Struthio camelus: one gene and its partners. The protein of the gene in region 1 purifies or fractionates together with the protein of each later gene. This does not show direct contact. Links are inferred from orthologs where the notes say so. Each region holds a gene or a part of one and is shown in the gene's direction. Other genes may lie near its edges. The genes, in order: MMS19, RTEL1, CIAO3 and PPAT.

Evidence for each region.
Region 2: the proteins of MMS19 (region 1) and RTEL1 purify together in Homo sapiens (affinity purification with western blotting; 4 studies listed by BioGRID and IntAct, with this or other methods). This does not show direct contact. The link is inferred for Struthio camelus from reciprocal best matches to the Homo sapiens genes MMS19 and RTEL1.
Region 3: the proteins of MMS19 (region 1) and CIAO3 purify together in Homo sapiens (affinity purification with mass spectrometry; 3 studies listed by BioGRID and IntAct, with this or other methods). This does not show direct contact. The link is inferred for Struthio camelus from reciprocal best matches to the Homo sapiens genes MMS19 and CIAO3.
Region 4: the proteins of MMS19 (region 1) and PPAT purify together in Homo sapiens (affinity purification with mass spectrometry; 3 studies listed by BioGRID and IntAct, with this or other methods). This does not show direct contact. The link is inferred for Struthio camelus from reciprocal best matches to the Homo sapiens genes MMS19 and PPAT.

The regions. Positions count from the first base shown.
Region 1 is NC_090948.1:17,004,110-17,011,425, reverse strand, and holds the start of MMS19 (MMS19 nucleotide excision repair protein homolog), read left to right. Parts: upstream 1-4,315; 5' UTR 4,316-4,348; coding exon 4,349-4,463; intron 4,464-7,316. Other genes in the region: UBTD1 (ubiquitin domain-containing protein 1), read right to left, coding at 4,081-4,240. UniProt on the Homo sapiens protein: Key component of the cytosolic iron-sulfur protein assembly (CIA) complex, a multiprotein complex that mediates the incorporation of iron-sulfur cluster into apoproteins specifically involved in DNA metabolism and genomic integrity.
Region 2 is NC_090959.1:18,012,961-18,020,518, reverse strand, and holds the start of RTEL1 (regulator of telomere elongation helicase 1), read left to right. Parts: upstream 1-4,556; 5' UTR 4,557-4,623; intron 4,624-5,085; 5' UTR 5,086-5,107; coding exon 5,108-5,209; intron 5,210-6,462; coding exon 6,463-6,661; intron 6,662-7,020; coding exon 7,021-7,114; intron 7,115-7,558. UniProt on the Homo sapiens protein: A probable ATP-dependent DNA helicase implicated in telomere-length regulation, DNA repair and the maintenance of genomic stability. Acts as an anti-recombinase to counteract toxic recombination and limit crossover during meiosis.
Region 3 is NC_090956.1:2,351,814-2,359,206, reverse strand, and holds the start of CIAO3 (cytosolic iron-sulfur assembly component 3), read left to right. Parts: upstream 1-4,379; 5' UTR 4,380-4,382; coding exon 4,383-4,517; intron 4,518-5,423; exon of another isoform or gene 5,424-5,763; coding exon of another isoform or gene 5,764-5,799; intron 5,800-6,005; coding exon 6,006-6,101; intron 6,102-7,393.
Region 4 is NC_090945.1:56,075,817-56,082,978, forward strand, and holds the start of PPAT (amidophosphoribosyltransferase), read left to right. Parts: upstream 1-4,149; 5' UTR 4,150-4,217; coding exon 4,218-4,345; intron 4,346-7,162. Other genes in the region: PAICS (bifunctional phosphoribosylaminoimidazole carboxylase/phosphoribosylaminoimidazole succinocarboxamide synthetase), read right to left, coding at 2,204-2,401, 3,471-3,516. UniProt on the Homo sapiens protein: Catalyzes the formation of phosphoribosylamine from phosphoribosylpyrophosphate (PRPP) and glutamine.

The DNA.
Region 1 (7,316 bases):
GTCCCCCCCCCCGCCCCATCCCTACCCAGACTCGCCGGCTCCAGCAGCAGGGCTGCTCCCAGCCAGGCATCCGCCAGTTCTTTGGGCTCATCCTTCCTGCGGCTCAGGGATATCCACCGGCACCTCCCAAAGGCGGCGGGGAGCAGCAGGGAGCTCCCTTGCCCCGCTGCGCCCCCAGGGGAAAGCATGGCAGCCCCGCGGGCCGGTCCCGGCTCCGCACCGGAGGAGACGCACGATGCCACCGCCAGCCGTACCGGCAAGCCAGCGGTCCCCTCCTCGGCCAGGGAACCGTCTCAAGGCCACACAACCTAAGCATGGAGCAGGCAGCAGCCACCCTCGTGACCATTTCCTGCTCGCAGGACCCCTCTCTCAAGCCTCCCCGTCTGGAAGGCGAGGGAAGGGAGCAGCTCACAACAGCACAGCGCAGGAAGAGGGGACGAGAAACGCCGGATCCACCTGGCGCTGCACAGGGTCGCAGCGAGTCCAGGCCAGGGCAGAAGCCGGGCAGGCACACGGACTGCTTGGCAGGGCTCCCGCCGCAGCCGAGCCGCAGGACCTGCTCCCCGCTCCAGCCCAGCAGGGAACCGAGCCCAGCTTCTCTCCCAGAAACGGGGTTCAGCCTCTCACCCCCCCAAACGCTGGCCAGGGAGCGCCCACACCGGCTGCAGGCCCACGGGCGCGGGGCGCTCTCCTCCCGGCCGACGGCAGGTCCCTGCGTGCCGCGGCCGGGTCCCCACGCTGCAGGCAAGGCAGCTGCAACCTCGCTTCAGGGCCATCCGCCGGGGTGCCAGCCTCCGCCAGCTGCCGAGGCAGCGCCCGCCGGGCGCAGCAACCGCGGGCTGATGTCACTCCGCAAGCAAGGGCAGGAATCGGCCCGGCCACCCAGCCCTGGGGACGGCCCCGCTCCGCCACGGCCTGCGAGCGCGACTCACCGGTTCGGTAAACCCAGGGGAGCCGCAGGGCTGCCCCCGCTGCCTGCCCGCGCTCTTGGCAAGGAGCGGGGCGCGCACACGCGCTCTGCCCGAGGAAGGGACGCGCTCCAAGAAAGCGGAGGCGGTCAGCGCGGCGGCCGGGGCACCGGGAGGAGGAACGCGAGCAGGCCGAGGAGAGCTCGCGGGGACGCGGGCAGCCTCGCAGGGACTGCTCCGGGCCGGAGGGGAACGCAGCAGCCACGTGGGAGATGGAGGTGGGAGCGCGGCTCTGCAGCCAGCCGTGACCCTGCGCGGGAGGGGTCCCCCCGCGATCGCATATCGCGGCAGCGACAAACACCTGGGAAAGCGGCCGACCTCTGGGGCGAAGTGAGAGCTCGCAGAGCCGCCCCGTGACGGCTCACCTTGGAAGGGCGTGAAGGACCTCGGCGGGTCTGCCGGCGGAAAGCAGCACCCAGAGCCAGGCCTCCGGATCTGACCCTCCCAGCCACCGCGGCACAAAGCCAGCACGGAGGTGTTTGCCAAGGGCCTCGCACACCCACAGAGCTGAGCAAACAGCCCCGGCCAGGCCGAGGGCCCAGGAGCACCCGCACGTTTGCAAGGGGACGTCCGCATCCCCAGGCGGGACAGCGTGGGGGCTGGGACCCCCGGGGGGGGAACAGGGCTGTTATTGCACAAATCGGCCCCACACCGGCTTGGCCCAGGGAGCAGCTCCGCAGCGCGGCGAGCCGCAGCTCACCTGGGGCTGGGGAGGCCGTGCCGGGCAGCCGCGCTGCTCCGGGCGCGGAGCCCACGAAGCTCGGGGCCAGCGGGAGCGAGCCTGCCCGCACGCACCGGCACCCCAGAAAGGAGCCCCAGGGCCACCAGGCACAGCCAGACCTGGCTGGCCACGGGTCAGTGCTGCCCGCCACGTGCCGAGCAGCGCACAAGCGCACTCACCGCCTCCGTCGCCCTCAGGGAACGTCCCAAAACCCCTGGGAGGGCTTTTGGGACACAGGAGCAGCTGAATAAGCAGCGTCCTAAAGCACCGTGCACAGGCTTTGCCCGCTCTTACCAAGGCAGGGCACAGGGGCACGCTATTTATGGAGCAGAGGGCACCGTCCTGCTGGAAAACCTCTTTTCCTCTCGCCCACCCGCAGCCCAGCTCCCCGGAGAGGGCCGGGGCTTCCCTCCGTCCTCACCCACACGCACGGCGCTTCCTCTTCCTCCTCTCCGGCCTCCTCCAGCACCCGGCTATAAACACAACAATTAGCAGTGGGTGCAACGCGCCGCGCTGTTATTGCACCGGCTGGGGAGGAGGGCGAGGGGAAGGGAGGCATGATTCACCCTGCCGCCTGCACGGCTCTTGGCGGGGCCGGATTCGGGAATGCAGGGGGCCGGCTCTCGCAGGGCGCGATCTCCCTGCGCACCGCCGGCTGCGACGAGCTTTCCCCGCCGCCTCGCCGGGGACCGGCGCCGCTCCAGCCAGCCTGGGGAGCCGGGGCACGGCGACTCCGGAGGTCGACGCGCCGGATGAGTTAACTCTCAGAGGCAGGGAGTGCAGCGGAGCAGCCGAGCCGTCGCCTCTGGGAGCCCTTGGGTCTCGGCAAAACCCGCAAGCGGCCAGAGCCTCGGGCTGATACTGAATGACGGTGGCACCATCCCCGCTCCCAGCGCACTCGTGCAGGAGGCAGCCGTGCCCACCCCCGTGGGCGACAGCCGCCGGCCCATCCGGGCCATGCCGCATGTGGCAACATCCTGGGGAAGCGCCTTACGTAAGCACCTCGCGCAGGTATTCGGCCGGGCTCCTCGGTAGCTCCGCCGAGCCCACAGCGTTCGCACACGCACGACTCCCTCCCGTGCCGCGGCGGGGGCCGACTGCAGGACGCCCGCGAAGCTGCCCCAGGCACACGGCTTCCCAGCGCCGGGCAGGTCCCCAAACCCCGGCAGGAGAGGGGATGGGGTCCCTTTAGCAACACCCCACGCTCCCCCCCGCTTAGGGGGGACACGGCACTCGTGCTCAGGCCCCGAGCGGGCCGTTTGCGGGAGGCGTTGAGCGAGGGCGCTGGGAGGCGCAGGCTGGCCCGGACACCGGATCCCTCTGCTGAGCGCAGCAGGACGAAGCCCGAAACGGGGCCGCTGTGCCGCCGCGCAGCCCGGGCGCAACGTCTCCTTCCCATCCGGTGCCGGAGGGCACCCGGGGCGGGGAGCCTTTGCACTGGATGCGTCCCCGGACAAACCTCAGGGCACTGCAGGCAGAGAAAGAGTGCTCCGGGGCCAGCACAGACCTAAAAGCAGCCGGGGAACCGGCAGAGCCGGGCAGGACATAATGTCACACCCCAGCCCTGACCCTGCCCCGCGCACACCAGACACAGGACGGCACCGGAGCGCAGCGGTGCCGGCTAGGAGGAAAACACCTGCCCGGCCCCGCGGCACCGGCCACGGCGCTGCCGCCGGCGTCCCCGCCGCGGGCCCGCCCGGTGCCGTGAGCGGGGGGCGACGGCTGAGCCCCGCGGGGCGGGCAGGGCTGCGGGGACGGGCCGCTGCCGGGGAGCCCACGGCCGGGCTCGGCGGCGCCCGCCCCATCCCGGGGCCGCGCACCGCACCGGGTCCCCCGGGGCGGGGGGGGGGAGGCACGGACGAGGCACTCCCGGGTGCCCACGGACCGGACCCCCGCCGGTGCCCACGGACACCCCCAAGAGCGCACAAAATTAGACCCCAAACCGGTGCCCGCGGACCACGCGGGGGTGCCCCCCCCCGGTGCCCGCGCCGCCGGGGCGCACGGCCGGCCCCGCTCACCTGCTCGCTTGCGGGGGTTGCCGGCGGCGGGCCGCTCCCGGCGCTGCCGCCCCACGCAGCCGCCCATGGCCGGGCTCAGGGGCGGCGGCGGCGGCGCGGGCGGCGGCGGCGCGGGGCGCTCGGCATGGGGCCGGGCCGGGCCGGCTCCGCGCTGCGCCCGACCGCGGGGCCCGGCGCCGTGCAGCCGCGCCGCCGGGCTCTGAGCGCCGGGGCCGCCCCGCCGCCGGAGACACCCCGCGCTCCGCCCTCCCCAGGTGTGCATGTGACCGCCCCCGCGGCGCCCGGGCCCGAGCTGGGGCCCAGCACGGCCCGCTCCGCCCCGCCCCGCCCCGCCCGCGCCGGGACCCCCGACCGCCACCGGCACCGGCACCACCTTGCGGGCGGCGCCGCCCACGTGGGCGCGCCCACTCGCACGACGCTTTTGTCCCATCCGACGCGCCGTACGTGGGGGTAGGGGGGCCGGCCCCCCCCCTTGGGGCCCCACGGTTCGCCCTCCGGGGTGGGGGGGGGGGGCGAGCTCCAGCCGCGCGCATGCGTTATAGGCCCCTCCCCCACGCGCGCGAGGGCGGGGGGCGGCCGCGGCGCGGCGCATGCGCGCGGCCGGGCGCGCCGGCGGCTCGCTGTCCTCAGCGCGGAGTGTCATGGCGGCGGCCGGGGCCGGGGCCGGGGCCGGGGCCGGGGCCGGGTTGCTCGCCGCCTTCGTCCAGGACTTCGTGGCCGGGCAGCAGGACGCGCGCGCCGCTGAGGTGGCGGCAGGTACCGGGCGGCGGAGCGGGGCAGGGCGGGGCGGGGCGGGGCGTGTAGGGTGGGATGGGGCCGGGCCTGGGGTGTGGGGCGGGGGTGTGGTGGGGCCGGGCACGGCAGTGGGGCCGGGTATCTCATGGGGCTGTGGGGCGGGCTGTGAGGCAGGGCAGCGGCAGAGGCATGGCCATGGAGCTGGGGGGGGCAGGCTGTGGGGCAGGGCAATGGCAGGGCCATGGACCTGTGAGGCAGGGCATGGCCGTGGGCATGGGGCTGTGGGGCAGGGCAGGGGCAGAGGAATGGCCATGGAGCTGTGGGACAGGCTGTGGGGCAGGGCCTGGCCGTGGCCATGGCCATGGGGCTGTGGGGCGGGCTGTGGGGCAGGGCAGTGGCATGGCCATGGAGCTGTGGGGCAGGGCATGGCCGTGGGCATGGGGCTGTGGGGCAGGGGCAGGGGCAGAGGCATGGCCATGGAGCTGTGGGGCAGGCTGTGGGGCAGGGCCTGGCCGTGGCCATGGCCATGGGGCTGTGGGGCGGGCTGTGGGGCAGGGCAGTGGCATGGCCATGGAGCTGTGGGGCAGGGCATGGCCGTGGGCATGGGGCTGTGGGGCAGGGCAGGGGCAGAGGCATGGCCATGGAGCTGTGGGGCAGGCTGTGGGGCAGGGCATGGCTGTGGCCATGGGGCAGTGGGGTGGGCTGTGGGGCAAGGCAGTGGCATGGCCATGGAGCTGTGGGGCAGGCTGTGCGGTGGGGCAGGGTGTGGCCGTGGGCATGGGGCTGTGGGGTGGGCTGTGGGGCCATGGGGCTGTGGGGTAGAGCATGGGACAGAGTATGAAGATACGGCGCAGTGTGTGGGGCAGAGCACAGTTATAGTTATTTGATGAGATATGGGGTAGAGCATGGAGGTGTGAGGCTGGGCAGGAAAGGTCATGGCTGTGAGTTGTGGGGCAAAGCATGAGGCTGTGGGCAAGGTGTAGGGTTATGGGCATGGTGGTGGGACAGGATATGGAGCGTGGCTCTGGGGCAGGGCACAGGGCAGTCGGGCAGATCATGTGGCATACCTATGGAGCTGTGGGGCAGGGAACGGAGGCGTGCGCCTAAGGCTGTGGGGTGGGACAGGGCCGTTTTGGGGACAGGGAACGGATGTTTCGGCATAGCCAAGTGAACATGGAGCTGCAGGGAGGATAGGGCAGGGCATGGGATGTAGCCACGGGGCAGGACACTGGCTTTTGGACGTGGCCATGGAGCAGAGCAAAATACAGGTGCAGGACTGTGGGGTAGGATCTGGCATTGGGATGGTCATGGGGTAGAGCAGGGCGTGGGGACAGGATGCTGCTGTGGGGAATGGGATACAGGGAGCCGTGGGGTGCTGGGCAAAGAAAGTGCCGTGGGATATGGCAGTAGAGAGCAGCGGGGGCTGTGGGCTACAGGGCAGTGCTGCAGGATGGATGCCAGTCAAAGAATAGGGTGGGGGCCTGAATTTGGGGGTGGGAAACAGCTGTGAGATGAGTGTTGACAGGGGATGCAAGGGATTAGGGACTGTGGGGTAGATGTGGGGCAGCAGCAAGAGTAGGGAGCTCTAGGAGTAAGGTGGGCACGGATTTTGGGCAGATGCAGGGCTGTTCAGAGCTGAGGTGAATGCAGAGTTGTGCGATCTGTGAGGCTGATCAGGATTTTGGAAGGCTAGCCTACAGCATGGGCTGGGATTGCAGGGGGGCAGTGCAGGGGGGGCTGGCCTGGAGTGGAGAGTGACACTTTCGGGCAGGGGGATGTGGTGTGGGGATGTGTGAGGCTATGAACCGTGGCACTGGAGGTGCGGGGCGCAGGGGGAGCTGCAGGATGGTCCTGGGTACGGCTGCCTGGGAGGTGGAGGTTGGCCACCTGCGGGGAGGAAGCCCCTGGCCTTGCCTTTCACCAGGTAGAAAGCTGGTGTGCTGGCTTCTCCTGCCCCTAGTTCTGGGGCTCAGGGTCTGGCTGCCCTTTCTGTGGTTTCTCCTCCTTTCCTGGCTGGGCTTGAGGCATTTGACTTCCTTGGATAATTTGCCTTTCCGCTTGGAGCAGCAATTTGGTGACTTTGTTACATTAGGGAATTTGCAGCTTCAGGAACATGGCTTTTTAAGGATAAGGCAGAGCATTCGTGTTTCTAGGCAGTGGCTTCTGTGTGTTTGGAAAGGATTTGAGAGAGCAGAGGAGTACATAGGCTGCATTATACCGCAGGGTAGCTAACAGACCCTTCCCAAGGGGGTAAACTGTTCAGTGGTATCTTGGTGAAGAGATGAGCTGGCAAAACTGGCAGATGACCCAATGGTCCATGTAATGCATGATGAAGAAGACGCCAAGGAAATTTGGAGGAATTCACTAAACTGTATGACATTCAAGATGTTGCAAAAGAGTTGCACAAAGCCTCCAACATGTTTGCGATAGACGGGGGGGAAGATAACCTTACAATTGCTCTTGTCATCTATGGTCATGTTACAGAAGTGCCCTGAGAAAGCTTTGCCTCTTCAAAAGCATACAAAGAGATAGGCTGCTCCCCCCACAGCTCTCATCAGCCGTATGGTGCTTGTGATAAACCTACCTTGACAAGCAAGTGAGCCAGCGAGTGTCCTTTGGCCCCTCTGACCTTTCATAGAATCATACATCAGAAAATATTAAATTGCATCACATCTCCTTGAGCAAAAGGGGAGGTTTTTCTAACCTCGTGGCCTTCGTGCGGTTGTTGGAAAAACATGTTGAGCTTCTTGCATGTGTTGCTGAGTACTAAATTAACTGCAACTTGGCAAGTGGAAGACTTCACTGCTGCTACAGGCAGCTTGGACTGTACAGGTCAGCGGGTGTCAGGAGGAGGCTGAACTCACTTTTCTTAAA
Region 2 (7,558 bases), on another chromosome or scaffold:
AATATTTTTAATATTTTTAACAATTAAACATCCTTAGAGGTCGTGTGCCACAGGAAGGCTTCTTCCAATAACTCATACTTTCTTTTCAGAAAAAAAGACAAACAAACCAGTTTACAAGAGTATATACATGCAAACTGTTAAGGGTGGCTCGTCTATTAATTTTGAAGAACAGAAATGTCTTTTGGAACCAAAGAAAGAAAAATCACGACCTGATAGAGAAAACTATCTCCTCAATACACAACACATCCCCAAATCAGAGACCCATAGTAATCCTCCTTGTGTTTCATTATAGGAGACAGTCGTCTAGGGCAACAGTTCACAAAGGAAGATTTGCAGGCTGTGGCTGTTACAAGAAGGGTTACAGGCATGGCAGAACCACACTTCTTTATATTATTATTTGTGGCTCTAAGTCTTGCACAAGTAGGGCTTCCAAGAAGAAACATTTGGGAAAAAATTAATCTAGTGACTAACGAAATAAGGTTGAAGGATGACAAACACCTAGTCTAAAAGGAAAAGCACGGATTGCCATATATTACTCTAATACAACAGTGTAGGTATGGCAATAGTGCAGCCATGAGACCTTCCAGTACCATTTGCAGTCTCAAGAAGCTAGGAGAAGCTGACTTAGTTGGCATGAAATAATAAAAATCCCACATAGGGCAGCAATTAACCCTCCTCAAATTATTAAATAACAGTCGAGAATGGAGATAAAGACGGTCATTGTCAAGCAAGAAAGCTATCTGAGCCCAGCCTGAAGTAACTGCAACTGAGAAAGAGAAACCAGTGATAACAACATCAGCACTAAATCAGGAAAATGTTTCCCTAAGGCAAGGGAAACAACAGAGTTATTCTGAACGTTTCCTCTTTGGTATCTATCATGTGCATCTGCGAAACGAGGCCAAACTGTGCAAAGGATCTGGATCATGAGGAAGAGGAGGAGATGTATTAATTTAGTCACTTAAAAGTGTAAAGCAAGCTAGGAATTCAGGTCACCACAGAGTCTGCTCAGTTAGAACTGGTCAAGGTTGTACAAAAAAAGTTAGCAGTGCAAAACGAGATAACTGACTGAGGAACAACAACTGGTAAAGAATAGAAAATTTTGAGCACGTGAAGCTGTGTCTAGTTCTGGCTTCAACCATGATTTGTCACGTGGCTTTCACCAAGTCACTAATCTCATCTGCTTCAGTTTCCTCATCATAAAATGGGTATTTCATTATCCACCTAATAACAGGATGATTGTGATTAAAATTTGAGTGCCAAAGAGAAAGCAGTTTTACTTCATGTATTTCCCAACAGTAAAAAGACAGCAGGGCTCGGGATTATCTGGATTCAAAGGAATCAAATAATTATATGGTCAAACAAAAGTTTTAGATGGTTACCATGGGAACCATTACATGTCCTCAGAAGGACAATGAATGGCAACTTAATCCTCTTGTATCTAAAAGGAGAAAAATGCATGAATAGCAGTGGTCTCACGGTTGGTCACCGCTGCTCTTCAATGTATTCGGTCCTGTTCCTCAAGATTCTTGCTTGTCAAGGAGGAGAAATCCTGCATGGGTGCCCCCCCCCCCCCAAACAAAAGTGAAAATTACTCTCCTTGTACTTCTGCATTCTACAAGCTTTCTACTTACAGGATTCTCTGCGTAGTGAGGTTCAGCCACTCACACATCCACTTCCCTACAGAGTTTTAGGATTATCTTCTGCAAGATTTTTCTTTTGTACATTTTTTCCTTATAGACATGTTTTACTTTCTGTTGCCCACTTCAAATGAAAACTAGTTCATCCAAGATCTTCACCATCTACTAATGTGAGAAAGCACTGTGTGGAACCTCTGGTAGGCTGCACTGCCTATAGGACGGATCAGCATGAAGAAGCCATTAATGGTACAGGGACTGGCCTGTCATTATCCTCCATGCCACTCCAAAAATTCTCCTCTTTCCCCTCCTTTTCCCTCCCCAAACCCATGGCTTATACAATCGCAGGTTTTATCCTAGGGAGCTAAATCCCAGAATGAGAACCCAGGAATGAGAATGATGTCCGTACGTGTATGTGACAACAATGTTCTGGCTTTAGTAAACCTCTAACATTCTCTTCCAACTTGAATGAGGAATAAATCTTTCTCTTTAAACTTACAAGATTTTGTTTGCTCTCTTCCCAGTTTTTAGAAGAAATTGGTGAAGCAATGATAAAAACAGACTGGATGATGCTGGCACTGCAGACTTGGTCAAGTAAGGTAAATGGTGCAGAGAAATAACCCTCCAGAGCGATAAACAGCACTCAGCCAGTGCTGAGTCATATCTTTCCCTGGACAATAGCGCACCTGCTGAATCATATTCCTTTTTGGGTTTGGGAACTTTCCAACTCTTCTCCCTCTAAGGTAACACTGCTTAAATCAACGTTACTTAAATAGTAGTGAAAATAATCTGATTTTACACAACATTTATATTCCTCTTCAAAGCATGAAACATACATTTACAGGGAACAATGACAGAAAAGGCAGGGAATATTCAATAGGTTTATGGCCAGTTTTAAACCTTTATTCTCCATTACAAATACCTTATCCCACACCTTCACAGCATCCCATCAGTTCCTACAAACTCATTTCTTTTGCAGTTTAGTCTTGTATGACTGGTATCAAGTGAAAGAGTTAATACGTTCAGAGATATGAACAAAATCGCTTGTTACATTTTGTGTTGAGCACAGTGAAGAACAAAAGGAGTAACTCAAAATCAAATGACACCAAAAGACTGTATTTTAACGCTCTCAAACCGTAAAAAAACAAGGACTGTTTGAATGACTTTTCTGCAATTATTCAAAATCAAGTCTGACATATCAAACAACCTTAGACGTTCTGTCCTTAGCAACATTTTCCTTAGGCATTCTTCAATTACAGATGCCCCACTCCACAAACAACTGTCTTTTCTCACAGACATACAAGAATATAGAAAACTTATTATGCCTGAGGTATAGCGACCCATATTAATAGAGTACTCCCAATCACACCTTATTAAGTTCAGCTTTGTATTGCAAGAGCTGGAAAACTGAGGCTTATAAACCACAGAACAACTGCTAGCACCCAACTCCAGTGTGCTTTGTTGTACTTCTGTAGCCTACTAGCTACAATTCAAAACAGCTTACAGACAGACAAGTTCAGCTCGGGGAGATTCAAGACTGGTAACCAAAAGAGCAGGATATGTAAGCTTCGCTATCTGAATTCTTGGAAGACACAGAATATACCAGAAGTTTGAGATCAGATGGCACAATACACTCACATTTAAGGTCACATTTTTTCTTCTCTTGAAATATTAGAATACTTCTACATACAGACATTACCCCTTGCAACTTGGTAAGGGCATTTGTAAAGTTTCAGTAATACGACGCTACATCCTGTTTTACACTTATATAGTAACCATCTAACAGCGTAGGAACTTGAAATGACTTACAGGGAGATGTGGTGTGTGATAAAAGATTTTCTTCTACCTTCTTCCTTATATAATTGCGTAAAATATGATTTTGCAAAATTTTGTGATCCAGGCAAACCACGTCCATTTATTCAAATAGTTGGATGGCTTGCTAGAATCTTACAAGCACTGGCTCATCCATCATTCCAGAACGGTTCAGAATTCATTACAGTCACATAGGGGTGGAACCCACCCTTAGTCTGAGCAATTGAAATTCCAGCACAGCCATTCCAGGCCACATGCACTGACATAAAGACAGGAAACTGAAGGCTGAAAGGAAAGCAGAGAACGAAGGAGCAGGACATTCATCCCTAACGATACCCATCAGAATTCAGATACCCATCAGAATTCACTACTGTTTGCGATGCAGAGACTGCAAGGCGCAATATAATGAAATAAAACCCCTTGTACTGAGAGCATGGAGAGTTTCAACACAGAATCCCGTAGGAGTCTGCGTTCTCCCTGTAGGCACTACCACCGGAGGGTGGCAGACAGGCGGCATAAAGCAGAACGGTGTGCTGGAGAGAAAAACTGGTCAAGGAGATGACCTCCTACATAGGCCCCCTGGCCTTTCATGAAAGAGAGGGAGAGAAATCCGGCCTCAACCAGCTACCGTGAAGGAGCACTCAGACGCTTAGGGGGAACCCAGCAGGTTTAAAAAAGCATGAGAAACGTCACCGTTTTGCTGCTTTTTGCAAGCAAACGGTCTATCTACCGCCTCTTTGCGGCCAGGCTTCCCGCACTAGGACGGAAAGGAGAAGCAGCTGGGGGGCCCGAAGCGCTTCCCGACTTTCCCGCTGCCATCACGCAGCTCCCGCTGCGGAGCGGCCCCCCGGCCCCGGCTCCTGCCCGGGACCTGCTCCGTACTGCCGGCCTCAGGCAGGGCCTAACCTGGCCCCACAGCCCCGCCGCCGCGCACGGGGTGGGGGGGGTGAGAGGGAGGTCGCCAGCCCCCTGCCAGCGCCGCCGCGCGGGCGGCACCGCGAGCGGCGGCAAACGGGCCCCGCCGCCACAGCCGGGGCCTACCGGGCCCCGCCGCTCGCCGCCCCGTTCCCGTGGCAACGCCGCAAGCCTCGCGAGAGCGGGCGCGGCGGAAGTGACGCGGCGGAAGGAGCCCGGGCACGTGACGCAGGCGCGGGGATTCTGAACGGTGGCGCGCGAGGTGAGGCTGCGGCGGCGCCCGCGTCCCCATGGCAACCGGGGGGAGCGGCGGGGGGGGGTCTCGGCGGCGCGGGCAGGGCCGAGGGAGGCTCCGCCGGTGCCACCGGGGCGCCCGGGTGCCGGAGGGTGGGCGCAGCGAGGGGCGCTGTCAGGGAAGCGGCCCTGTCCTGGGAAGGGCCTGTGAGGGCCGCGGGGAAGCACCGGGGTCCGGCCCCCCCGGGGAACGTGAACGTGGCGGCCGGGTCCTCCGGTGAGCCCGCTGCGCCGGGCCCCTGCGCGCCCCGCCCGGGCTGCGGAGCGGATTTGCTGCTAACGTGTTAGAGGCCCCGATTTTGTGAGGGGGAGACGGGCCATTTCGGGCGCTTGTTATGCAAACGAGCATCCGGCTCATTGCTCGAGGCGCTGTCGGGCGCGCGGGCTCCTCCTAGCGTCGTGTTACTGCAGATCACGCGCATGCCCTTAGTTTCAGGTGCCTTGCGGAAAACATGCCTAAGGTTACTCTAAATGGCATCACCGTGGATTTTCCTTTCCAACCGTACAAGTGCCAGGAAGCGTACATGGCCAAAGTGCTCGAGTGTCTGCAGAAGGTGAGTGCTGGGAGGTGCCGGCGGCGTGCTGCTCCTTGCAGCCAAGGGGCTCTGGCGCAGCAGTTTTTCCTCTGCTAAAATTTAATTCTTGACTGTGTTACAAGTCAGATCTACAGCAGCTTAGTTCCTAGGTGTATCTTAGTTCATTTACTACGCGTATCTCATTTCTAGCTGTGAAAAGGGGTTCCTTAAAAAAGGAGTCATGATTCAAGTTTACTTCTTGTTGTCTGTATACTGCCTTTTTCAATTTTTTCTGATTTTATTTGTAATTTTATTTTAGTATACAGTTATTAAAAACCCAGAAATGGGCAAGTGTTGTATCTCTCAGTAGAAATGAGGACAGGCTATTTCTGCCTAATGTGGGAAAAGGAAGAAAAATTAAGGAAGTAGTTCTTATGTTCGTGCACTCTATCCTTAGAAGTTTTGCTTTTGTATTGTTAGTGAATTGTACTATTAGTGTAAGTTGCCCTTCTAGCTACGATAATGTAATCTTACTGAATGAATGTCAAATAAGGAATGGTTTTTACAATAGTTATTTTTGTTCTGGAATTGGTAAACACGATCTCCAAGGTCCTTGCTTCTTCTGAGAGATGAAACAGAAGCTTAGGCTTTCCATGATAGCTCAGCATTCCTCAGGATCATAGGCAAGGGCTTGGTCCTTCTCATGTGGTAGTAAAACTTATATAAGCCTGTTACATGAATAAATTCTTTTAGTGTGCTTACCATGATTTGTCTCAGCTGTGCAAGCTCACCTGTTATTTATAATGCAGTTTGTGAAAACACTTGGAAATTGGAATGTCCAGTAGAGCTAGATATTTAGAAATGGACCTGCTTGCCAAACTTTCTGCTGAAACTATGTCTAGATTTTGTGATGCAGGATATAGTCATCGTTCTAGGGAAAATAAGCATTCTATAATCTAAGAATCAATTTCTATTTTTTGGAGTAATTTCTAATATTTGTGTGCCTTTTATGCTGAAATGTGATGCATTCTATTTAGCAGAGGCATTTTCCATCCTTATAGTAAATAAAGGATAACAGTTGTCTCTGGATTTTAGCCTGAGTTTCACTGAGCTGATTAGAGGTCACAGGTCTTGCATGTAAAAACTTTGTGGGGTATGTGTTTCTGTCATATGGTATACTTTCCTGCATAGTGAATTCTCTTTTACTGGGAAAATGCTGTACTGCACGATGATCTATTCTAGTTGAATATCCAATATACTCATTTTTTTCATTCTATTTCTTTTCAATAAAGAAGGTAAATGGCATTCTGGAGAGCCCTACAGGCACAGGAAAGACACTGTGCCTTCTGTGTTCCACTCTGGCTTGGCGGGAACACTTTAAAGATACTATTTCAGCCCGCAAAATTGCACAACGTATGAACGGAGTGGAGCTCTTTCCTGACAGACCCATGTCATCCTGGGGCAATGCTGCTGTGGATGCTGATGTCCCAGGTAAGTACGTTTTATCGCTCCCACTGAGCATAAAATCAGGAATGTTAATGAACGCTTTTGACTTTACCTATCTCTTACAATGAGTATATAGTCATAAAAGCTATGGAAGCATTGTTTGGCAGCTGAAGCACAATTTCGTACTATTTCATAGGTTTTTAAAGGTGTCTTATGTATTTTTAATTTTCTTAGAACATTAGAAATCTCTTTAGCTCATTTCTTTTGTGTGAGTAGTTAGATGATAAAATTTCTTGCTGCCTCTATAAAACAAATTGTTACAATGGCACCACAGGGAAGGGAGACTAATGATATCTTTAGTTCTTTCTCTGCTAATAATTTTTTTTTTCCTCTCTATGTAACAGCTTATTACACTGACGTTCCTAAAATAATTTATGCCTCCAGAACTCACTCACAACTTACGCAAGTCATTAATGAATTAAAGAACACAGTCTACAGGTAAATATGATTATGATACTGCTTCTATCCCAAGAAAAAGGGGAGGAACCCAGCTATTTCAATAAGTATTTGAATTTGTGTGGATGAATGTATAAAACAATTGATACCGACTGAAATGCAGTTCTCTTAATGTGCATGTATAGAACCTGGATTTCTTTGATTTTTTTTTTTTTTTTTTTTGTGATCCCCCCCCCCCCACCCCCAATAGTTCACAGCTTTTCTTTTCTTATCATCTCCTTCTATCTTAGAATTTTCTGAATTCACTCTGGTTCTGGTTCTCCACTTATATTTACTTCTGAAATTCCAGGTGGGAGGAAGCGCGGAGGATTTTTTTTTTTTCCCCTATCTCCTTAAATCCTATAAGCTTTTTCTGAACTTGAGACAAAAGAATTCATTAGATTGCTGTGGGTTTTTTGGCTCGGGGAGAGTAAATTTTTCCAGTTT
Region 3 (7,393 bases), on another chromosome or scaffold:
CGGCGCCTTTGCTCTGTCAAATAAAAATACAAAGCGCGGTGGTTAGGAAGCGGCCAAGCCACCTGCAGCGCTCCCTTGTGCTCAGCAGCAGCCCCGCAACACACTACTATTTACAGACGTGCTCCAGCAGGCACCTACGGTCACATCTTCAGTCCCTTCACTCAAACTACGGCCAAGCACAGCAACACGGTTCCTAACACGCTAGCCTCACTTAGCGTCTCTGCCAAACACAACACGGTCCACCTCGGCCGACAACGCTGCCGCCACCACCAGCAACAGGAAAACCTAGCAGCAGCAGAGCACAGCACATAGGGGGCCTCATCAACTCCATTCAGCTGTATAACACACTCCAAAGGGCAGCGCTGACACCAACCCGCACACACACTCCCCTCTGCCCCACGCACAGCAGTGAACAATACGCTGCCAACAACCCTCCTGCTTTGCACCAACCCACAAAAGCACGAGCAAAACGCACAGCAGCCTTAGGCCCACAAACAACACTCCCAAGCTCGACCCAACTTCCCCCCTTGCCCACACTTTCATGCCCACGTGCGGCCATGGCACAGCTCGCCTTCTGCCACCTGCACCCCACCGCTCTTGCTCTGACAAACGCTTCCCACCCCGCCGCTTCTGCTGCCTACTCAGAAAGCTGCCCACTTGGCATTTGGCAGCACCGCCTCGCCAGCGCGTAATTGCCCACTGCCTAGCCTCTCCAGAGCCTTCAGTCACTCAGCAGGCACAAGACTCCAGCACTAGGGCACTTGCACCACCACCATCTCTCAGGACTTCTAACACCACCCTAGAGAAACCTCTGCCGACAGATAACCCTGCCACAGCGCCTGCCCTGCCCTCACCTCTCCAAAGCCCTTGCCAGCCCGCCCTTTCCCATGCAAAGCACTCGCCCACTTCCGAGCAAGCAGGCCTTCCCGTCCTTCTCCGCTGCCCTCTCTGCGCCCCTCTTCTCCCTGACAAAGCAGCCCTCCCACCCCTAGCACTACCGCCACCACCTCAACAGCAAGAATTACCTCTTTCCCATGTCACTTCCCTCCCCAGCGTGTCCTCCGGGAGCCAGGCATACGTAGCCCTCTTGCCCGGGGAGCTGCAAGGCATCTCTAGCGCTGTCTTCACCTTCCTCCAAAGCCAATGCACCGACGCAGGTAAGACGGACCAGGTAACCCTCCCACAGCCCACTCGGTGGCCCTCCTCGCCTTTCTAGGCGGCCGCAAGGAAAGGCCATCGCCTCACTCTTGGCCTCTCTTCTGCCCCAGCCTCTCTGTCTCCTTTGGACCACGGAACATGCCTCCACTGGCTGCAAGACAACTTGGGTGCATTCGCAGCTATTGCTCGCTATGAAGATCTCCTCACCTTAGTGGCAGATTTCAGTGGGGTTAGTGTGCCTCCACGCTCAGAAAGGACCGAGACCGCTGCGCTCGCACAGCCTTACCAGCCTGCTCTACCACCGCCCTTGCCATGCACGAGGCTGACGCCTCTCCTGCCTGCTCCAATTCAAGGAGGACACAGCCCCCCTGCCTCAGCCCCAGCCCCAGCCCACCTCATCCTCCCAAGGCCCGCAATTCCGCCCACTCCGGGGGCCTTAGCTCTCCCTTTGTCAGCAACCTTTGGCTTCTCTCTCACGGGCTCCCTTTTCCTTTGCAGGTCGATGTCACCGACAACCTCACCGCCACCCAGCTAGCCCACCTAGTTTTTGGCCCCGGAGTCCTGCAGGACATCTGCGTGCTTGAAACCCTCCTCTCTGCCTTCCTGGACGAGGTTCTTGCTCTTGCTTCTCAGGTGAGACGCTCACCCCCAGGCGCCTGTGGCCGGCAAACACCACGCTTTCTGCCCATCTTCTTTTAGCCGGAAAACCAAGACTTCCTTTGCACAGACTGCTGCTCGCCCTTAGCCCAGACCACTCGCTGAACGGCTTCCCAGAGCCCGTTGCCCTCGCCCACCTCCAGCACGCCCACACCCACATACTTGCTAGGCCAAGACTGCGCAAACAGCTGCTGCCCGCACCTCACTCGCCGCCTTACCTGCTTTTCTTTTGCAGCAAGGCTTTGCAGCCCTGGTGAGCGCGCACGCCAGAGACACCGTGCTTGGGACAACCCTCCCCAGGCTCCGAGGCCGCTTCACTCTTCCTGGCCTCCAACAGCACTGGACGACAAGCAAGACACAGCAAGAGCACCTACTTGGTTTCGCATGCTTCGCTCACAACATTCTCGCCAACCACCCGTCTACCAGCACAAAACAGCTCTCCTTCATTAAATTTATTCCCAGCAAATACTGAGCACTCTTGCTTGCGTGAAACCCTGTCCACAGCACACGTCATGTTCCCGGGACGCCAACGGTCACGTGCACCCACCCACACAGCCGACAAGGTGCTGCGCAGGGAGCCCGAATGCTCTCCCTCCCTTCCCACGCCTCCCTCTCCGCTCCGCCTTCTGCACCATGACTCCCTAGACCTTTTCTCAGCCGACACACTGGCCCACCTCTCGCTTCACAGCCACGCCACCTACAACCCCTCCGACACACACACCGGCCTCCAGCCGACTGCCAACAAGCAGCAGCCTCTCCGCTACCTCCGCCCCTTCCTCCACCACTCCAACACCTTTGCCCTGAACTCAAGCAACCTCAGCCACAGCGTGAACCAACCCCCTCTCCTTGGCACCCAAACACCTCACGGCGCAACTTTCACCCTTGCAACTCGGCCACCCGCTCGAGCGCTCCGCCTCCCACCTCAAGCACATCTGCCACAGCACCCAGAAAGCACTTCCTCCTGCCCCACTAGCACACCACCCCACTCTCACCCCAATCCTGCCCACACTCCCACCCCACTTCCCTACCTCCAGTCTCTTCCACACTAAGCACTGCCTCCACAAACACCTCACCACCTGCCTGCCTAGCACTCCTGCCTCCGCCCTGCCCGCCATCCCAAAGAACATACCTCCCCCGCTACACCCCACTCGCCTCCAACACTCCTTTACCCTCCGCCTCTTCTACTACAGGCCCCGCCGCAAAGGCGCACAGGGCACAAGCAGCTCCTCCGGCATCCCCCTTTCTTCCCCTTTTCACACCCAACACCTCCACTCTCTCACACCTCCTGCTTCCGGCAAGCGCTGGCTCCTCTCCGCCCAACCACTACTTTCCCCTAACAGCGCTCGCTTCACAACGCCAACCCACCTCCACAAACAACTCCCACTGCCACCCACAGCACAAAACACACCACAGCCTTCTCACCTAGGGCCATTCCACAACCTGCCGGCCCGGGCGCTGAGGGGGGGCCACCGGGGGGGTTAGGGACACACACACACACACACACACAAGGCGCAACTGGTATCCACAGCCTCCTCCCTTCCCTTCTCTCACACAACCACCCCCCGACGGGGCACCTTCCAACACAACCACCGCCAATCACCACCCCCTTCCCTCTACTACTCACACCCTCGCCACTACCCAGCAGGCAAACACATCCCCAAAGCACCTCCCGTGCCTACCAAAAGCGCACAAGGCAAGACTGCTCTCCCTTTTGCACCCAGGACCACCCTTGCTCTCCCCCTCAACCACAAACAACACCTTCTCACAAGAAACAACACACGGGCCCACCTTTTGCAGCGCCATCTCCTAGCCCACAATCTGCCCTCACCTCAGCCTCACTCCTCCAAACGCTGCACCTAGCCTCCACGCCACGGCCACACTGCCTCTCGCTCACTGCACTCCAAACCAGCAGCACGCCTGCTCCACGCACCGCGCTCCCCGGCGCTCTACCCAATCTCCTTGGGAGCCCCTTCACACAGCCCTTTCCCCCCTGCCCTTGACACGCCCCAACACTACTAACACACTCCCAAACGCCCTTACCGGAACACAACCGGCACCGACAACACCTATTCCCTCCCCACCCTCCAACCCATCTTTCCACACCCACCCGCACAACTCAGCAGCCACTTCACCTTCACGCTTCAGGGCCACAGAAAGGAGGCGCGACAGCCTCAAACCGCCGCACCACAGGGGCACGAACCTCCCCCGCTGCCCTCCTGACACTAACCGCTCTGGGGGCGGAGCGCTCCGGGCCGGGGGCCGCTGTCCCCCCACCCCGGCCACCTGCTCTCCGCAGGGGCTCGCGGGCGCCCAGCCCAGGGCCGCCGCGACTGCCTCCCCACACGGCCCGCAGCCAACCTCGGCCTCGCACCCCGCGCTGCAGCCCAGCGGCCACCACGCGCCCCGCAGGCGGCCGGGCCCCGCCCCGCCCCGCCCCGCCCCGCCCCGCCCCGCAGCTCTGCCGCCACCGCCCTCGCCGCCATCATGGCGCCCGCCCCGGCCCCGCCCGAGCCCGACCCGCGCATGCGCGCTTCTTTACCACCCCCCCCCCCCCCCCGCGGCTGCTGATGCCGGCTTCGCTTTCCGGCAGCGCGGCGCTTTCCGGCAGCGCGGCGCGGTCCCCGCCGGCGGTCGCCATGGCGTCTCCCTTCAGCGGGGTGCTGCAGCTCACCGACCTGGACGACTTCATCGGGCCCTCCCAGGTGGGCGCGGGCCGCGAGGGCGGCGGGCCGCTTCCCCGCCAGCGCCGCCCGCCAAGGCCGCGGGAGATGGTTCCCGGCCGGGCCGGGGCCGCGGCTCCGGCTCCGGGCGGGGAAGGCCCCGCCGCGCTCCCGGGGCCTGGCCGGTGCCTCGGAGCGCGCAGGGCGCGAAGGGGCCGCGCCCGGCCCCCCTCTCCCTCCCCCTCCCCCAGTTCTGCCCGTGCTGCTCATTAGCGCAGTAAACGGAGGAAGCACAGAAATACCTCGCTGCTCCGTGCTGCCAGCGTGAGGGGTCGGGGAGGGCAGCAGCTGCAGAAAAGCCTTGTTCACACGCCCCGCTCAGCCCCATCTGGATCTAGGAACTGTCAACCTAGACAAAAAACAGCAGCAACGAAAAAAAACCAAAACAAAACGAAGAAACCGAGAAAAATTAAGCTTAGACGAGTTATCCGAGCCAGTACATGCACTTCACTGTTACCCAAGTGCCCATGCCAGGCTGCGGGAGAGGATGGCACCGAGATGGGAGCGAGCGGCAAAGAGAAGGCAAGGCTTTCTTGTCAGAGTCTTCCAGCACTAGCAAAGTTCCAGGTCAAGAAAAGCATAATCCTAGCGATGGTGGTTGACAGCAAATAGAGCAGAAGACAGTCTCCAAATGAGAGTAGTGAAACAGAGTAGAACGAACCCCCTTAACTCTCCTTGTTCCCCCTTTTCTGTTTCAAATGGAGAGATCCTTTGGATTGTTATGATTCAGGGAGCATAACTGAAGAAGCTTAACGACTCGTTCCTCGTAGGCTGTGAATCTTGCAGTAGTTGCAGCAACGATGTAGTCGAGCTGGACTCTAGGGGGAGAAACGTTTCAAGGTTTTGGCAGAGAAAGGACCGTAAAAGGCAAGGCGACTCCTGGCTGTTGGAGCAGGACATAGAGACAGAAGGTGCCTAAACAATAACAATCGCACAAAGTATAAAAACACCCTTGAGACTTCATCACAAAACAATGCAGCGAGCTGGAAGCAGTCCATCTGAAGTCGTCAGATTCCTTGCAGCATTAAATGAAGCTTCACTGGCACTAGCCCCGTGTTGACTGTAGTGACCACGCCTCCATTGGTTAAAATTTGCAGTGAGGAATGCATGATCTGTAGGGATTTTAGAGAGAAAAGGACTTTGCAGGCACACCCCTGTTCTTTTCAAGACCCCATAAAGCATAGCTGGCTTCTTCAGAGCAACAGCAAAACTGCCCTCTGGTTTTGGTATGATGTTGGAAAAGTGTTCCTTCTGTAAAAAGGGGGTAAGCAGTTTTTACTTTTACATTTCCCCTTGGTGGTCATAGATGCTGTAGAAAAATCGAGCGTACCTTAAGGTAGAATAAGTGGCATTTGCTCTTGAACCAGCCTTTGCTTTTGATCATTCCAGTTTCAATTGCATTTTTGCTGTGCTTTCTCTGCCACACAGCTCACCTCAGTTCCTCACTTTTGGACTTTATTTCTGTTTCAGGAATGTATCAAACCTGTAAAAGTTGAAAAAAAAACTGGGAAAGCAGCAGCTAAGATCAGGATTGAAGCAGATGGGAGCTACTTTCAGATCAGTCAGGTATGTGTGATTTTTTTTTGATTAATGTGTAAAATATCCAGAAAATGCAACTTTCTTGCTCGGTATTTAAATGCTACAGCTATTTACCACCTCACAGGGAACCAAGATGTAACAAAAATATTGCTCTTGTCATCAGCCTCCTCACATCTTTTTCCGGAGTCAAATTTGGAAAAATGGAAAAATACCAAACAACTGGGTTTTAACTACCCAGTTTTATAAGCCATATTTCTAATTTCATGTCTACCTTTTTGTTTCATGCTCTCAAACTCAGGTGTTAATTAATGATATTTTCAGTGCAAGAGCAGGTAAGCTGAGAAGTCTGTTTTCTTGCCATCGCTTCTCGAGTGCCTGGATTGCTAGATTATTTGAAACAATGCTTTTTCTTGTTATGTTATACAGTAGCGTGCTCAGTAACAAGGAGATTCATTTATATATTCTTTAACCTTTGTTTTTTTTTTTAATAATACCTTTTAAATGATTTGCTAAGCAGCATGCAGAATTCATAAACCTGTTGCTTCCAAATTATCGCAAGTTGTACTGAAGTATTTTCATATATATAGAGAGAAGTTGAGCTTTTCTTTGTTAACCAAACTGGGAGTTCATCTAGAGACAGTGCTTTTAATTTCAGGCTGTTGATTACCTTTTGAGTTACAAAGGCCAATACAGCATTTTCAAAGGAGTCTGGTTTCATATTTAAAACTTTCAATTTAAAAGTACTTCATCGCTCAGTCTGAGTTTATTGAGAAGTAACATTTAAAGAAGAGTCTCACTAGAAAGCTGATTTTTTCAGGTCAAATAATATTAAAAAATTCCTTCCAGCGCCATGCCAGACGCACTTTGACATGCCATCAGTGCCCGTGTAAGTTTTGCACACAGAATAACTGCAGAATATTCCTTAACAATGAAAAACGTTAGTGAGTTTGTAGCCTGGCTATGAAATCTCTTTAGAAAGAGTGAAAGTCAAGACTCTTGTGGAGCAACAGCCCTAGTAAAATTCAATAACACGAGCAACATCTGATAGACCTGGCATGCTTTCCCTAGCATTAATCCAAATATTGAATGCACGCTGGAGATCGGTGCTTAAGGGCCTGGGATCTCAGCAGTCTACAGTTTTGCCATTAAAAGTAGCAGCTACAATCTGTAGCAAGTCAGCCATTCCAACCCCAGTCTTCTGCCATGCACAGGTTGAAAAAGCAAACAAGATGGACCACATTTGCTTCCGGGAAAGTGTCACTTCAGTATTTTGGAGCAATGTCAACCCACCAGACAGCAGAAATAATTGTGGCGTAAAC
Region 4 (7,162 bases), on another chromosome or scaffold:
GAACAGTAATTGGAGACTGTCAGAGGAATTACTGAAAGGGAGCAAAATACAGGAGCATGATAGTCCTTACTACTTTGTTTATAAAGGGGAACAGGGCAGGAGAAGACACCTTAGTCCTTCCTTTCTTTACTAACTAACATTTGTTTAGGACTTTAGATCCCAGTGATTTATTTGGCAAGAGACATTAAAACTTGGAGGAGGTATATGTGCACACGCAAACTTGCTGCAAAGCAACAGTATTATATAATTCTAAGATGACCCCATACTAAACACTGTTACAATCAACATGAGCCGATTGCCACTGTAAGTCCAATATGACTCTTTTCCTCCCAACTAGCAAAGTAAGAGAAGTCTCACTTTTTCCCCCTCAGGGCAAGACAACTGTCAAGCCCAATTGGCATCTGCCAGAGACAGAGGCCAAAGGAGTTGCAGCCAGTCCATTTAAGAAGTAGCTATATTCCACTCTACTTCCAGGGACATAAAGGAAGTAGAACAAGTAAAACACTTAAAACACAGTGTTAAAATACACATTGACTTTTTATACCTAATTGCACTGCCCCAGAGGACAAAATTTAAACTATCAAATGTATGTCAAGTCACTTCTAAATCTGGTCACCAAACCCCCTGCCTGGTTTATTACTAAATTTTTAATCAGCACAGATGTGTGCTTTAGAAGCGCTGACATCAGCTCCATTACAAACAAGGGAGAAACTTTAACAGAACTCTTTGTAAATCATCACCTTTGAAAAAATAGGTTAAGAGGAGTTGCGCAAAGCAAACAAACTACTTCTACAATACGGCATTAGCGTTATCTGCAATTTATGCTAGTCAAATAACAAAACTGGAGAAAAAACCCTGAAAGTCCTTTTGTTGTTTTAAAATGCCGCTGCAATTTATTCTGCGGAGAATTTTCCACAGCACCTAAAGTTAATCAGCAAAAGCCATTTAAAGATCTTTGAGATGTCTACAGCATGACTTCTTAGCATTTAAAATTCACACTTAAACTGTCAGATATTTAATATTTTAAATGTTAACTTAATAAAATAAAGCCATCTTAAAAAAAAAGTCAGGCAACACATCTTATTCATCACTCCAAAATGAAAGTCTCCCCCGCCCCCCCTTTTTTTTTTTTAAAAAAAGATCAACTGTAAATACTATCACCAAAGATCTTGGAGATTTCTTTGTACTATATGCAAAACAGGCTTTCCAGGAAAGCCTAGTGATTGAAATATTTCCCAAATGGACTAGTGGGGAAGGAGAAAGATACAATTAAGTCACTCAATATAATCTTCAATCTCAGCACATATTTTAAGAACTACTTGCATAGAAATATAGCTAGATAGAACTCTAGGGAAAAACATTTTTCTCTTCCCCACATATGAAACATGCTAGAACTTCAGTGCTTGAGCATCTGCTATCTATTACTACACTTTTATTATATAATACTACATTTAGGCTAATTGGTACTCAACATGAAGCAGTCTTCACTCAGACGCTTCAAAAGGAACTGAGCGTACAGCTATGAACACCATCTTACACAGAGTCTATTGTTGCCTGTATTAGAGTACTGTTTGTAGAATCAAGTTGGGAACTCACCAGTTCAAATTCCTCTTTACAACTTGCATACTATTTTCTTGTGACTATTAACCCCCCCCCCCACACACACACAAAAGCAGTGACCTAAAGACCTATTTTATTTTTCCTGTAAAAGAAAAAATAAAATATATCTAGAAGAGAGGTAGATATTAAATTCTCAGTTAAAAGACACTTCAAAATGCTTTCCTTAAAGTGAAGATACTGACTCCATTTTTGGAAGTGTGGTGCAGAACTCACTCATGAGCAACTTTTAGATATAGTCTATTTAACTACTACTAGCTAGCAGTGGCTTCTAAGCAGACAGATGTTATAAGAAAGATGAGATGCATCCAGTCTGTTATTATACCCAATAAAAAACAGATTGACATGAGCAGAGGGGAGGAGTAGGGCCATGACCAAACATGCAGGACAAACTATAGTAGTGTTATCCGTGATTAAAGATTGCTTCAGACACTCTCGTGCTTCAAATGACTAAGTCATTCAACTTATTAGTATCAAAGGAAAAAAAACCCCAACAGAAAATAAAGTGAAAAAAAGGTTCTCCAGGCAATACGGTTTAAGAGCCTCTGCAACATACAGGCATTTATTTTACCTTTAAAACACTCACCAGCTTCTTGAAGTAACTGAAACACACAGCTAGTTGTTGTATTGGAAATTGCAGCCTTCCCTTCCATACGGTCCTTCCTGGCTGCATTTCCCGCTGTTATTTGGTCTTTTGACTGCATCAAAACACATCCTGGGATCTCTGGCAACTCGTACACTTCTTTTGTTTTACCTTCATTAACTTTTTTACCAAGTTTCAGCTCTACGCAAAAAAAAAAAAAAAAAAAAAAGGTTCAGACCGAAACAAAACTATTTTTGTATGTCAGCAAGCCAAGCTAGCATGCTTTCAGTCGCATGCCAAGTCAGACCCAGCAGGACTCTAAACCGTGGTCAACGACCACTACGGAAACATTCCCATCTACTGAACCATTTGTTCAGTAAGTTTCCTCTCAGCAGTAAAGGTAAAAGCCTGCAATCCCTTCTGCCCAAACTTCCAGTACCACAACAGATGTTTATCATACCTAAGCATCTTTCAGCTGAAAGAAGCAGTGTACTCTTTCGGCTTTTTATTTTTATTTATTTATTTTTAAAAAAAGGCACGCAGCTAGCCAGCCTACACTTTGTAGATTTTGCGTTAGTCATGTCAGCACAACCTGGAGTCACTTGTACTACCCTTGCGCCGTCAGGACAAGATGGGCAGAGGAACCTCGAAGCTCAGAGGGCAGAGGAACCTCGAAGCTCAGAGAACGCTGCCAGACAGCACCAGTCTGAAGGAGCAGCTTCACAGAGCATCGGAAGTTTGGGGGCTGCACACATCAACCGCTCAAGATAAAAGACGTTTTAAGTTTCAGCTCGCTATGCCTTAACGTTCACGTACACTTGGTCTTCACTTCTTTGAGAGGAAGAAGCCAGACTTAACCTGCTCATAGGGTTGCTTCGCACGAGGAAGCTCAGTGCCCAAACTCCCGGGAAAGGGAAGACGAGGTTCTCGGGGGTGGCCACACACAAAAGAATGGAGGGGAAAGGGGAAAAAAAAAAAAGACCCCCAAAACCACACTTTTGCGCGGAAAGGAACTTGCTTAAAAGCACCTAAACCTCAGCGCCAGCCTCTTAGACCCCCCCTCCCACTCCCGGGACGTAAAGGCAGCCCCGAGCCCCCTCCGCCGCACAGATCGCTCAGCTGGGAGCGGCGCCCCCCGCGTCCCCTCCCCCCCCCGACCGTTACCGGCGCCCCTCAACGCCCAACGGCCGCGGAGCGCGCGCCCAACGGCCGCTCCCCTCAGGGCCCCCCCAGCGCCAGAAGGGGAAGACGCGCCGGGGAAGCAGATTACCTGACGCTGCGGGAGCCATGGCGGCGGCGGCGGCGGCAGCAGGTACCTAGGGCACAGAAGAGAGGTTCAGCACATGCTGCCAGGCCCCGCCGCCGGGGTAAGAAGGGGCCGGCGGAAGGGGCGGGCAGGCGGGGTGGCGGGCAGCGGCGCCGCTCGCCAATCGCCGCCCAAGGCGGCGGGGCCGGCCCGCACCCCTGTCCTCCCGGCCGAGCCCCATCGCGCCCCCTCGCCCCGCTGGGGCGAACTCCAGCCCGCGGTCCCCTCCACCGCCCACTCCCCGCTGTCCCCCCTCCCCCCGATGCAAACACGGCCGCGGCCCACTTCTCGGCCAATGCAAACGCCGCGCCGCGCCCGGCCCTCAAACTCTCCGCGCAGCCCCCCTGCTCCCACCGCGGGCAAACACCGGCCTGTTGCGCCCCGCGGCAACGTGCGCCCCACGGAAGCACCCGGGCCGGGGGCGGGGGCTCGGGGGCCGCCGCGCTGCCCCGCGCGCTGGGGGCGGCGGGAGGAGCGGGGACGGGCGACGCCGGCATGTGCGCGGGCCGGAGCCCCCCCGTATGTAAATGAGGGAGGCCGCGCGGGCAGGGTACCGGCGGCCCCGCGCGGCGCGGCGCTGTTGGCTGCGCGCGGCGCCGCGAGGAGCGCGCCGGAGCCGCGAGACCGGGGCCGCCGCGCCGCCGCCGCCGCCGCCCGCCGGAGCGCCGCCCGCGGCGGCCGCCGCCGCCACCGCCACGTGCCGGCCGCACCATGGAGCTGGAGGAGCTGGGCATCCGGGAGGAGTGCGGCGTGTTCGGCTGCATCGCCTCCGGCCTGTGGCCCACGGAGCTGGACGTGCCCCATGTGATCACCCTGGGGCTGGTGGGGCTGCAGCACAGGTAAAGGGACGGGGGGGCCCTGCCGCCGCTCGGGGGGAGGAAGTCGGTTGGGGCGGGGGTAGCGTGAGCAAAGCGTGGGGTCGGGGACGGGATCGGGCGCCCCCCCGGCCATCCGGCAGCATCCGAAAGTGACTTCTCGGTGGCGGGCCGGGCTGCAGGGCGGCAGCCCCCGGCGGCCGGCCTGGGTCGGGGCCCCGCGGCGGCACGTGCATCCGGGCCGGTCTCCGCTCGCCGCCACCGGCGGCGGGGGAGAGCGCGCCCGCCTCCCGCTGCGCGCCGGGCGCTGGCAGCCCTGGCAGCATCCCGGCGGCGAAGCGCAAACGGCAGAAACGCCCCGCCGCCTCTCGCGCCTCCGTGCCGCCCCCGTCGGGGGAAGCGCAGGGCGCAGCTCTCGGGCACGCTTTGCGCTTCGGCTCCGTCTAACGAAGTCGCATCTGCCGCCACCAGCCTGCTCTCGCTCATGGCCTGGGGGCGCCCCGCGGAGCAGTGCGCCGACGGGTTAACTCCCGCGAAACCGCGAGGCGCCTGTGCGCTCCCGGGGCCCCGCGGAGCCGGCGGCGGAGCCCCGGCAGCGGGCAGCCAGGCGGGGGGCGGTGGCGGTGTGCCTCTCCCCATCAGCTAGTCGTCTCGTCCCAACAACTCAGTCCCTCTGCGGCTTTTTAATGTAGGCGCTGACCTCCTGAAGGACTTGCAGGAAGGCCAGACCCTCATTCTGAGCATTATTTGAAATGCATACGCTCAAATGCAATTCGAAGTTTGAGACTAAGTAAATAGCTCATAAATATTTCTAAACTCCCGTGCTGCAATAAAATAATTATTTGGAAACATCATCATGATATAATAAAACTTGTCTTCCACCTATGCTTATAGTAAAGTAAAAAAGACTATATTCCCAGTGATCACCTTCCGAGATAGGGATGCAGAGCTGCAAAAGGAAGTTTTGCTTCCGCTATCATTTGGTGTTTCAAAGTTACAGTGTTATGCACTACTATATACTACTCATTTTTTTTTCAGTAATGGTAGCAAGACATTTCTTCTTTGTGGGAACACGTGCACATACACATTCATGCTAGTTTTGGCTTCGGTGGTGCCAACACCTATATATATGTTTTGCTTTCCATTTGTGAAAAGTGGGCTACATCACCTTCGTGACAGTTTGAGGAGGTGGGGCTTCTCTAAGTACATATGCATTGAATAGAAAAAATGTTACAGTTTTTATATTTTAGAGGTCCCAGACATGCAAAGGCTGCTGCAAATTTGTTTTGGACCAATACTAGAAAACTCTACATTAAGATTTTCTGTTTATTACAGCTGAATTTAATACACTTCTACTCATAAAACACTGCATCCCTACATGACTCCCATATCCTAATCTTTTCTTTGGGTTGCAGGTGTATCATTCATGAACTACGTATGTTTGCCAGTGTCTATCAAAAATATGCTCACTCAGAGTGATAAAGCTGCAGAATCCAAGGAAGGAAGCCGTCTAATCAATGGTCTCCTTTCTCGCTGAGCCATTTTTCTGTAAACAGGCTGGTAAAAAGTCATTTATGCTCACATAGTTATACTTGTGGCTCTGGAGTTTCACGACTGGAAATTAAATGACTGGTGTATTTTAGTCAAGTTTGTCTGTGGCTTACTATCACAATTTTCATTATAGACACATTTCATGATTTTCATGGAAACATAGTTTCTTTCTGATGTGCATTTGACGTACATTTGATTTCCATGTTTTACCATTATCCCCTATGGAGCCTTACTGGACAAAACTATAGGCAGTAATACTAATATAGTGATAGAAATTGTGAACAGTTTTCAAGTTCCATTAAATCAGTGGATATGCGCCTGAAGACATCGGACTACCTCTGATTCTGATCTCCTAACTCCACAACTGGCTGAAATGTTCAGGGGATGCTTTCTTAAAGACATAAACCTTATTGTGTCTGTATACCGAAATCTGTTTTCTTTACAGTTTGCTCAGTTAGGTTTACCTTTACAAGCACTCAATAAAATTCTATGAAATACTTGAGATGTCAGTGTTCCTGTTTTCATCATTAAACATTAAAGTTTCTCTCTAACCTCTTCACATTTTTCCTTAATAATTCTACTGTGAGGTGTAGAAAAGGTGATGTTTCTATCAGCAGGTAATAGGACAGCAGCTATTCTTCATCTTCTTAGAATGTCTCTTGAAAACCAACATTGAGATTCAGCATTAACTGTATCAGTAAATTTCATCAAGTTCATTCTCTTAAATTTGAAAGCTAAGCAACGTCTCTTAACCTTATTCCTTTCAAAATAAGTAAATATGAAAGAGAGGTATGGTAAATATTAATGGACAGTCCTAATAAAGCCTAAGTGACTAACAGAAATTTGATTAGCCATTTAGAAAATAAAGTTCTTAGAGCTCACATTGAAATGAATAAGGATGTTTAGTTAATGACTACTGGCCTTAGATACTCATGCTCATGATTCTTCTATATGCTAATTAGTCCTAGGTAATAACACAGGTGACAGTTTGGCCCTTAATTCATCTTAGGTTTTAAAAATTACAATATACGAACATAGCAGTGTATCAAACCGCATTTTTTAGATGGCCGACCCATAAAGAAGAGACAGCTGTTGGGAATATGCTATAATTTCTCATCTTTGAAATCTTATCTGTATACATACAGAATATTTGTTACATTACACAAACACAAGTGCTATCAATCTTTTGTAATCTGATATACCTGGTTGCAGCACTATGAGAAATTTGGCTATTTGTGATAAACGTCCTAAAATGAGTTGAATTATAGCGTTAAAATTTTTTTAGGCATT